Linked DNA regions of Daphnia pulex. The protein of the gene in region 3 purifies or fractionates together with the protein of the main gene of each other region. This does not show direct contact. Links are inferred from orthologs where the notes say so. Each region holds a gene or a part of one and is shown on either strand. Other genes may lie near its edges. The genes, in order: alpha-soluble NSF attachment protein-like, syntaxin-17-like and synaptosomal-associated protein 29-like.

Evidence for each region.
Region 1: the proteins of synaptosomal-associated protein 29-like (region 3) and alpha-soluble NSF attachment protein-like purify together in Drosophila melanogaster (affinity purification with mass spectrometry; 3 studies listed by BioGRID, with this or other methods). This does not show direct contact. The link is inferred for Daphnia pulex from reciprocal best matches to the Drosophila melanogaster genes Snap29 and alphaSnap.
Region 2: the proteins of synaptosomal-associated protein 29-like (region 3) and syntaxin-17-like purify together in Drosophila melanogaster (affinity purification with western blotting; 4 studies listed by BioGRID, with this or other methods). This does not show direct contact. The link is inferred for Daphnia pulex from reciprocal best matches to the Drosophila melanogaster genes Snap29 and Syx17.

The regions. Positions count from the first base shown.
Region 1 is NC_060021.1:555,407-559,346, forward strand, and holds alpha-soluble NSF attachment protein-like, read left to right. Parts: upstream 1-1,425; 5' UTR 1,426-1,562; intron 1,563-1,629; 5' UTR 1,630-1,640; coding exon 1,641-1,735; intron 1,736-1,795; coding exon 1,796-1,992; intron 1,993-2,057; coding exon 2,058-2,222; intron 2,223-2,275; coding exon 2,276-2,523; intron 2,524-2,614; coding exon 2,615-2,791; 3' UTR 2,792-3,398; downstream 3,399-3,940. UniProt on the Drosophila melanogaster protein: Required for vesicular transport between the endoplasmic reticulum and the Golgi apparatus. Also between the endosome and phagosome.
Region 2 is NC_060017.1:5,925,343-5,928,765, forward strand, and holds syntaxin-17-like, read right to left. Parts: upstream 2,054-3,423; 5' UTR 1,913-2,053; coding exon 1,790-1,912; intron 1,724-1,789; coding exon 1,331-1,723; intron 1,266-1,330; coding exon 904-1,265; intron 836-903; exon of another isoform or gene 815-835; coding exon 730-814; 3' UTR 654-729; downstream 1-653.
Region 3 is NC_060025.1:1,294,055-1,297,280, reverse strand, and holds synaptosomal-associated protein 29-like, read right to left. Parts: upstream 1,815-3,226; 5' UTR 1,696-1,814; coding exon 1,375-1,695; exon of another isoform or gene 1,303-1,374; coding exon 1,201-1,302; exon of another isoform or gene 1,132-1,200; coding exon 706-1,131; 3' UTR 510-705; downstream 1-509. Other genes in the region: TBC1 domain family member 10A-like, read left to right, coding at 2,191-2,672, 2,749-2,845, 2,916-3,130, 3,206-3,226.

The DNA.
Region 1 (3,940 bases), on a different chromosome or scaffold from region 3:
ATTTATTCCACCTCACTGCCGACGCCGGACTACCTTTTGGCCTTTTTCTTGCTTTTTATAAACGAAATCGGGATACTTTATTCATCAAATTAACAGACGTAACAAAATGGTCCGTTATCACTATAAAATTACAAGAACTTTAAATTACTCCAAATGAACCTGCATTTGAAATTTTCTTGATTAGGCATTGATTTACACATGAAAAAAAGCCTAAAACTAAAATTTCTTTATTTGTTTAACAAGCGATCCACGAATCAAGTAGACCAAAATCCCGGAGCGGCTTTCCTGATCTAAATCCGGAAAAGGCATTAAAAATCTAAAAAAAATATAGCCATGTTCGTCTTCGCACGCCGGATTTACCTGCGTTTGCAGAATGACGATTTTCCCCCCCGTTTAGGAGTTATTTAGCTCTAAAGTTTGATTTTTTTGAATTTTGTCAGAAAGTGGGGGGGCTTTGACATCCATTTTGGAAAAAGTGGGGGAGCTAGGGAAAAAACTAATTTTTTGAAAAGGTTTATTGCATACTCAACCACCGAAATCCAAAAGGAATTTCCTTTCCGGATTTTATTGGTTGAGATATTACCAATTTAGTGAAAAGATAATTTAGCTGGTTTCCCTCCCTGGCTTGCAGCCATTTTTTCGTACGGTCCGCTGCGCTCCTGGTGGAAGCCAGCAGAAGGTCTTATACATCGGCCTATAAGAAACCTGGGTTCACTATATATGAAGGCCTGTATAAATGCAATGGGTCTAATGTGAAGGCCGATATATAAGACCTTTTGCTGGCTTCCACCAGGAGCGCAGCGGACCGTACGAAAAAATGGCTGCAAGCCAGGGAGGGAAACCAGCTAAATTATCTTTTCACTAAATTGGTAATATCTCAACCAATAAAATCCGGAAAGGAAATTCCTTTTGGATTTCGGTGGTTGAGTATGCAATAAACCTTTTCAAAAAATTAGTTTTTTCCCTAGCTCCCCCACTTTTTCCAAAATGGATGTCAAAGCCCCCCCACTTTCTGACAAAATTCAAAAAATCAAACTTTAGAGCTAAATAACTCCTAAACGGGGGGGAAAATCGTCATTCTGCAAACGCAGGTAAATCCGGCGTGCGAAGACGAACATGGCTATATTTTTTTTAGATTTTTAATGCCTTTTCCGGATTTAGATCAGGAAAGCCGCTCCGGGATTTTGGTCTACTTGATTCGTGGATCGCTTGTTAATACCAAAGTCCGGTTGTCAAAAATTCCATCAATCGGTGAAAATGGCGTGGTTCAATAGCGTTATGAAGTGAAGATGGCATTTGTAAGGAATCGAATTTAATTTTTTTTTTTTTTTTTAATTGGTCCGACTTCTGACAGTTTTACCGCTTTTACTGTATTAGGAGACGCCACTTTACCTATGTTGCGTTGTTGCCTTTACTATGTTGTCAGCAGGTGGCAGCACGTACTGACCAGTAAAGGACTAAACAATACTAGTTCGCCGGCCTTTGTTATGCAGAATGTCATGATCGATATACGTAATATTGTCTGACAAGAGAAGTGCAGCTGTATTCATTTGTTGCAAAATGTACGTTTATTTAACGTCTTATCATTCACATTTGTTATGTACACGCAAATAATTTTACTTACTTTAGAGTAATCCACAATGGCCGACAACGAGCAAAAAGCAGCCCAACTAATCGCCGAGGCTGAAAAGAAATTGAACTCGGGAAAGAGCTTTTTTGGTTCTCTATTTGGAGGGTAATTCATTCCAGTATGTTGCATTATCCTCCCATTCTGATTATTGAATTATTTGTGTAGAGGATCATCCAAAGTTGATGAGGCTATAGAATGCTACCAACGAGCAGCAAACTTGTATAAAATGGCAAAAAAATGGTCTCAAGCTGGTCAAGCCTTTTGTGAGGCAGCAGCTCTACATCTTAAAGCTGCTGGACGTCATGATGCAGCCACCAATTACATTGACGCAGGCAACTGTTATAAGAAATCTGAGCCCAATGGTAAACATTACATGTTATATTCTATTTTTATCTAATATCAACTAATATTTTTCTAAATTCAATAGAGGCTGTTGCTTGCCTCCTCAAAGCTATTGAAATATATACTGATATGGGAAGGTTTTCTATTGCTGCCAAACACCATCAAACCATTGCAGAGATTTACGAAACAGAATTGGCTGATCTCGAAAGAGCTGTGCAACATTATGAACAAGCAGCTGATTATTTCAAAGGTAGTAGAGTTTTTATTTTTTTAAACATTTTAATTAAAATATTGTATTCACAGGTGAGGAAAGTAATAGCTCTGCCAACAAATGCCTTTTGAAAGTGGCTCAGTATGCAGCCCAGTTGGAAAACTATCAAAAGGCGATTCAGATTTATGAGCAAGTTGCATCAGCTTCTCTGGATAATTCACTGTTGAAGTACAGTGCTAAAGAGTACTTCTTCCGGGCTGCCCTTTGCCACTTGTGCATTGATTTGTTGAATGCCCAACATGCTGCCCAGCAATATGAGAACATGTATCCAGCTTTTCAGGTATGCCATTTATTTCTGATCAACACAATGTTGATTTTCAATAACAGTTTGGATGACCTCAATTAAATAATAACTTCATTTGTTTTTATAGGATTCCCGAGAATGCAAGCTGATCAAGGCACTCATTGGTCACATGGAAGAACACAATGTAGACGGATTCACCGAAACGGTCAAGGATTATGACTCCATTTCACGGCTTGATCAATGGTACACTACAATGCTTTTGAGGATCAAGAAGCAGATGGCTGAAACACCTGACTTGTGTTAAGTCAGAAGATCCAAAACCACTCGACGATCGGAAACCTATAGGATATCGTAGCTTTTTTTGCTGGTTTATGGCACACCCTTTAATCTTGCGCATGTACACATTAGAAGCTCCCCCATACACGATTATTCTGTTGTAATATCTTTCGATTGTCTAGTTCCATACGTTTTTAGCATGATCGCGAAGTGTACTATTCTATACATTTTTCATTCCACATTAATTCTTTTGCTCTCTGTCTTACACTGTTCATTATTATTTTTTTCAAATTCGTTCTTGTCCATTGTTCTCTTACGTTACAGTGTACAGTATATGTTCATCGTTGGACTTCACTCGGTTTTTTTTCCTAATTTGGTATTTACTATATACTCCGCGATATAGTTGTTCTTTTCACCTTATATTGTCTTTATAGAGGTTGATCTTTCAACTGCAAAATGTGTTAAAAGAAAAGGCAAATTCGTTTAATTATTCGTAGATGAATAGGCAAAAAATTTCGGTACTGTTACTTTTCTTCCCTTTTTCTTGCTGTCGGATAAATTGTATGCCTCAACCAAATTTGTATTTGTGTGTATCAATGTTTGTAGTTCAGAGAAATCCAACGTGGTGAAGTTTACCTTTGCGGTTTTTTTTTGGCTAAAGTTATAAATTAGTATAGTTCTTTTAACATTTAAAATCCTTGCAGTCCTGTAACAGATTTTTAAAAGAATTAAGAATTCAAAGTTTTATTGTGTGTTGTCAAAATATAGGCTCATAAAAGCTTGATTAATGCTACAGATTTTCGATTTTACGAACATATTGCAGTATCTTTTTATCTTTCCAAAATGACAAATGTTCGCAAAGCCGTACCCTATTGAAAGATGGCGCAAGCGTCAAGGTAACTTCACTAGGGTTTTGTGGGATTAATGAACCAGAAATGGACATATTGCGAAAAAACAACTTACAAGTTTTTGGTATTTCGGTCAAGTGTTGATTCCAATTCCGTGTTGTACTAAATCGTACACAATAGCTATACATAGTAGTGCTATATTTAAAAACTAGTAGAAAAGGAATGCAGTATAGGAAGTATACTCGTATGACTGTGCTAAGTCGATTGAAAAGTAACAATTTGGCAGTTTCAGATGAAAGAGGAGACGATGAACCTTGCGTTCAAATTTT
Region 2 (3,423 bases), on a different chromosome or scaffold from region 3:
CATTGTGTCGACTCCTTGAAGTGAAACTTTTTCAACTTTTAAATGGAAAGCCATGCCCAATCAAGCTCCTTCTTTACAGCCTTCTTTACTAAGTATTCTGTCAAGTTTCGGGTTATTGATTTGCCATCCAATTTCTTTTGGAATCCTACTATACTTGGCTGGATCTCTTTTATTTATTTCGTGGTTCTGAGCAATAATAAGACGGGACGTTATTTGCAGATTTGCCATCCACTTACCCAGTTCTTCGAACTCCGCCGTTTTCTAGAAGGGCAGGGGAAGCGGGGCTTGATCCCCTTTGTTTCTCAAGAGCAGTGTGTTACAATACGAAACACAGGCTAGTTTGCACACGATCGGAATCTTCGGGTTGCGCCGAGTTCTACTTATGGTCGTACTTTATACATTTCACAATCTTCTTTGGCTTCGCCAACTTCTTTGACTTGACAAATATTCGAAAACATGGAATGTTTGACTTCTTCGATTTAGAATTCACTGCATCTTAGTCTCCCTGCGGGAATTAAGATTTCGATCCAGGAGAATCAGATTTTTACGCCTCTTCCAACAATCGAGAACGACCAACTTGTAACTACAGGAGTCCACCCACTAACAAGACGTAGGATATACTTAACTAACTAAGTCAACACGTTACAAGAGAATACTCATAAATACGACATTTTAAAACTTCGCAAACGTTATATTACAGTTTCAGTCCAGATAAATATAGTAATCCACTTATAGGTTTTTTAGATGTAGTCGATCACGGTCGCAGTCATCACGTTTGGAATCAATCGCCATCGTTTCTTTCTGATGTGAACCACTGGTGACGACGTATAGATTTTAAAAAAAAATAAAGAAATGTTACCATTTTTATTTTAATCAATCCCTATAAATATTTTAGAAAGTTACCTAAAGCTGATTGAGTGTGGAACTGTTTTTGATCCAGAAGTATTGCCTAAATTAACAGGAGATGACTGACTTTTGGTTAAATTTTCAGCTGGTTCATTAACGACCGATTCTTGCCATTTCTTTAAACCACGACCACTTGCAAAGCCCAATAAAGAACCTCCAAGTGCTGCAAGCCCACCTATTTTTAAGCCAGCAAGAAAGCCAACAGGGCCGCCAATACAAGTACCAATAAGAGCTCCTGTTACTGGATACATAGTTGCCTTAAACTTTGCAGCTTTGGCCAAATTCTGTTGTCCTTCTTTAACATTTTCTAGAGCATCATCAACATTGCTTTCAATGTTGCTGACTGTACTTCCTTGAGTCTACATTAAATGTTTTATCAATGTTATTGTTTTAAAAAAAATATATATATATCAAGGAGACTTACATGAACTTGTTGAGCAAATTCTGAAAATAGGTTGTGTAACTCCTCTATATCTTTTTGCAAATCTTCATATGTCTCAAGCTGAATTTTTCGTTGCTCTACTTCAATTTCTTCTGGTAAAATCTGTTCTTGACTTAGCATCAATTGTTGCTTTTGTTCACTTTCCGATACATGGGAATCAAAGTTTTCATTCGGGTTTTGTTTAAATTTTTTTACAGCATTTAAAGCTTGAATTCTGTAAGGTCTAATTTTATTTTCAAACTCCTTTTCATCTTCCGGTTTCAACTGACATCCAACTCCTTCTAATTCTCGTAGAGCAGCTTGCAATTGAGAAGCAACCTGTTGTAATTTTAGCTGTTCAGTTCGTACTTTGTCCCAATCTTTCTCCTTGATATGCTATGCAAATGAAACAGTTAAATTATAAAATAATAATAGAAATGTGCATTAATCATAAAGACCAACTTTATTTAGGTTGCTTTCATGTTGTTGTAGCTGTCCAAGAAACTGTGGCAACGCAACATTTGCGAAGCGATTCAGAGGTAATTCATATATTCTTACTCTGAAAGAACTGTTAACTTTTGACATTATTTCACTGACATAACCAATGCTGAAAACATAGATTTTTATTTTCACACTTGAAGGATTTCGTAAGCTTATTTCTTATTACGACTGAAAACGGCCTTTGTTTATGTTCTTTCTGTTCTTGTGTTGACACTGAAGCCATCTAGTAATAAATGAATCAACTTTTATATTTTTGACACAGAAGCCATCTAGTAATAAATGAATCAACCTTAAGCTATCTAGTAGTAGACGAATCACATCACATGATCTTTCTACTGCCATGGTTAGTGTGTACGGTTATAGTTACTGTCTTTCACGTTTCGATGCAGTTTTTAAAGTGAGCTTTTTAGCATTTCAAAATGTTTGTTAAGTAGCATAATGTGGTAAAGCAGATTAAGTGTGTATTGCGCTTAGTTGATTTAACAATTTGTATTTTTTATTTCCTCAACACTTATCAATTCTTTTGATATCTGATTTTTTGAAACAGTGAAATCCATGTCCATTAGGAAAAAATCCAGGAAAATAGCATGATCCAGGTTGTTCTTCAATTGCAACCAAAGATAATCAAGGACAAATGCAAAATATCCAACTGAAATTCTCTTCATATTCGTGGTGTAAGTTTTACTGTAAGTTGTGCTGTAAAGTTTATACTAATTCCTTTTACTTCTTCTTTTGATTCTGATCAGAATTTTGGAAAATATTTTGTCCAGAGAACGGTGCCTTAAAAGAAAGAACTTTGGTTGTGATAATGTGGCAGTATAATTTGCGTGAGTGTTAGGTTTTTTTATGTTTTTGTTTGTTATGATTGTTTCTTATTTTAGTATAAGTCTTGATTTAGCTAGAGCATGGATCTTTTTAATTTTGCTGTTTAAAACTTTAAATATCTCTTGTTTACAAGGCTAGACGATGGCTTAGATCGTTTTTCATCAGTCAGAAAAAACAATAGTTTCGCTGTTTCAGTTTCTTTTATTTTACGCAATTCTATCGACATATAAGACTATCGGCAGTTATTACGTTAGATAATTGTGATAACTGACCGTAAGCTACAAAGCTCACTTGGTAGTCTCATGTAATTTGCTTGTCTACTTTCGGATTTAAAAAGAGTCAGTACTTAATTTAGTACTTATTTGATGCCCAAAAGAACTAACAGTCGAATATCAGATATTCGGGCAAAATCGTAATTTTTCCTGAACTATAGGATATGGCATAAGAAAACAATAAGTGCATATTTGTGATTTGCTGATTTGATTCAATATTTTTGAAGTGCTCTCCATTGTTTTTTGTTGATTTGTTTCTCAACGCATCGTTATTAATAAAATCTTACTTTAATCTCTTTTCAGGTGAATCCGTCGTCGCCTTTCCAAAGACTGACCCATCGGATGGTGAAACTGACGAGAGGATGCTGTAATTCAAGACTGATCAATTGTGTAGTTTTTAGATAAATTACAAGTTCATATCTGGGCTCCCTTCTTTTCTGCGGCCCCGTTTCCCTAACTAACCACTAACCAACGCCCGCCGGTGGTCACTCACCCGCT
Region 3 (3,226 bases):
ACTGTGATAAATGTGCGGCCAATTCCCCTTTTTCCACATTTCAAGGTGCTACGTTTGCGGTTTGTATGAACTGGAACTCCGACCAATGGTCTTCTGTTGTAAAACGGAAACAGAAAACAGTCGCCAAACGAAGACAATGGCAATTTAGTGTGCGGCTAAAATCAACAAATGAACCGTAATAACAGCTGGTGCAGACATCCGCAAAGACAAGCTGGCCCATCAGGACATTGTGTGGATATGTTCTTGTCAACTAAAACAAGTTTCTCAAAACGAAAAAAAAAATTGCCATTCATACCGTCCGGCTCGTTTCGTTCTCATGATCATCGAATCGTGAAACAGGCAATAACACGATCACCACGTCCGCTCATCTTTCCACAACATCTGCAAAATTCCTTGCGGATGATTAAACACTCTCAGGAAAAAATTTTCATATACTAATAAAATACCTAGTAAACTTATCCCCAATTGAATTCATGCAAATAATCATTTTTTTCTTTCTTTTTATCAGACCGTGTTTCACCTAAATGTATTATTCCATGAATATATAATATATATACACACTGGGAGTGTGCTGGCAATTTACCTTGGTGCGCAAAAAGAGGGGGACAGATTTTCTTATTTAAAACAAAAAGAGTTTTTTTTTCTTCATTCAATTCTAATTCTTTGTGTATCACAAGTTGGAAACAACATGGACTCGTGGGGTTTTCACTTTTTCAGAAGACGTTCCATATCTTTATTTTGACGCTGGATTCTCCAGTCAGCCTTGTCGGCACCAGTCTGCAACCGATCGATCAACGTGTTCTGATCTTCCAGTTCAGTCGACAATCCCTGGGCGAGACCTTTCAGACGGGACAGGGACAAACTCATGTCACCCAGATCTTGCTCTAGCTGCTCGTCGACATTGGAAAGAGGTTTGTGACTAAAATCATTTTCAAGTCCTTTAATCCTCAATGCTGGGTGCTGTTGCTGTGATGGTGAGTCTCGGTCAATCGGTGATGATGTTTGCTCAAGTACCTTGGAAAGATTGCTACTACTACTACTGGAACTAGGCTTTAACAAAGACCCTTCAGAAGAGTTTTTGAGTGGCTCTGAAGGCTTAGAAAAGTAGTTCTTCATACTGCTAAACACACTCTAAAAATCAATGAAATCTGTGTTAAGGAAAAAACAACCAACCAATGCTATAAAATATAGATAGACTACCTTGATATTCTGTATGTGTCTCTCTGAAGTCCTCAATGAATTATTCATTTCATCCAGTCGGCTCCCAGTTCTCTCTAACTGTTCCCTCTGCCTTACCAAGTCCTGGTTGGGTATTTTCAAGGGGAAAATGAATCAAGTTTTAAGTGGTTTTCTAATGTAAGCTTATGTGCAAACCTCAGCGGTGGAGATTCCAATCTGCTCAGTCTCATACAACATTCCTTTAGCTCGCCCTGAAGCCTGCAAAGTACGTTCTTCTATTTTCTGTTTCTCCATAAGAAGTTGTCGTCTACGTTCATCGGCGCTCTGATTTTCTCCTCCGTCCAGAGGTTGGAAACTGTTATTTCCGCCCGACAAACTATTGGCTAATTTTCCTCCAAAGTTATTGAACCTATTGGGTGCCCTTTGTAGAAATTCTTCGTCGTCCACGTCGTCTTCATCGTCAAAAAATGGATTTGAACCTTTAGACTTGACGTAACGCCCACTGGATCCAGCCATAGTTTTTTCGACACTAATACACTTTTCCTTGTATGTATTATTTGTTGCTCACTCACTTTCGCATGCCCTCCGAAGCTGTCAAGGCCTTTAAAGAGACTGCCGAGAGTCGTAACCAAGGTTTGATGTCTTCCCTCTAGCGACGACAAAAGTAATGATTTAATAAAATTGTAAGTAACATAAATCAAATCAATTAAAACATATTATTATTTTTAAGTTCATTTAAAAATTTCAAAAAATAATTCTCTATTATTATTCATTCATATGAATCAGTAATATTTAATAAAATTAGCTAATTTAAGGAATGTTGCGAGGCTTCACCAGGCTGAGGGAACAGCCCACCTCTTTCTCGTCATAGCAGCCCTTCTTACTTACTTCACTTGTTTTCCCGTGATCAAAATATCTACGTGTGAAGTCACGCAACTGTCCTTAGAACGTGTCAGTATCATGAGTGCCTTATTTCCTGATAAAATAATTGCGAAATATTTGAAATAATCAATGGCCACTCGTCACGAGCCATTATCACTTCAAGTGATAACATCTCCGTTCCTTCGCAACGTCGAAACAGCCCATGATGGCAGTGCAACAACTGTGGAAAGACGTACATTTCGAAAAAGTCTTGAAAGACTTGAACGAATCAATATGATTGATTTAGAACCCTTTAGTTCTGAATCAGTCTACCGTCAGCCTTCATGTGAACAGGGTCCTAGTGGAGATAGGAAGCTAGCAAAACGACAAAACAGGCTCAGCAGAGAGATCCTTGGAGTTGATGATGCAGTGTTATCAGCTCCTGACATTGCCCAGTTCCAATCTCAGGAAAGACAGCTTCTTACAAAGAACCAATCAATGAATGGTTCCCTTAATCAAACCGATGTTGATGATGATGTCAGCAGTGTTATTTATGGTGGATCAATAGCATCAACAGTCCCCGACAGATATGGTTTCTTTGGAGGATCTCAGTTCAGTCATGACACTGAAATGTAAGTTTTATTTGTTTCCCTTGAATCCCCTATTAGTTTAACACTATTGTATTTGCTTATTTTGAATTCAATTTAGAAACCCAGCAATGATTGCCATTTTTCGCAAAAGAGAGCTGAAGTGGTTAAACATGTTAGATGATTGGGAAAAGTATATGACATACAAATACAAAAAGGTTTGGCAATATCTTTTATTTTTCTTGTCTTTCATGTTTCTATTAACACCCAATTATTTGTAATCAACAGGTAAGAGACAGGTGTAGGAAAGGAATACCCAGTTCTATCCGTCCCAGAGCGTGGCAATATTTGTGCGGCGGTGGTGTTCTAATGGAAAAGAATAAAGGCGTGTTCGACGATCTACTCGCTCAGCCCGGAGATCCCAAATGGCTGGATGACATCCGAAAAGATTTACATCGACAATTCCCCATGCACGAGATGTTTGCCGATTCCAATGGACCTGGGTAATTAAAGCAATAATGCTTCTCAATTATCGCTATAGTATACATTCTACTATTGTTTTTTTAAATTAAATTTAGTCAGGTGGAATTATTTCGGGT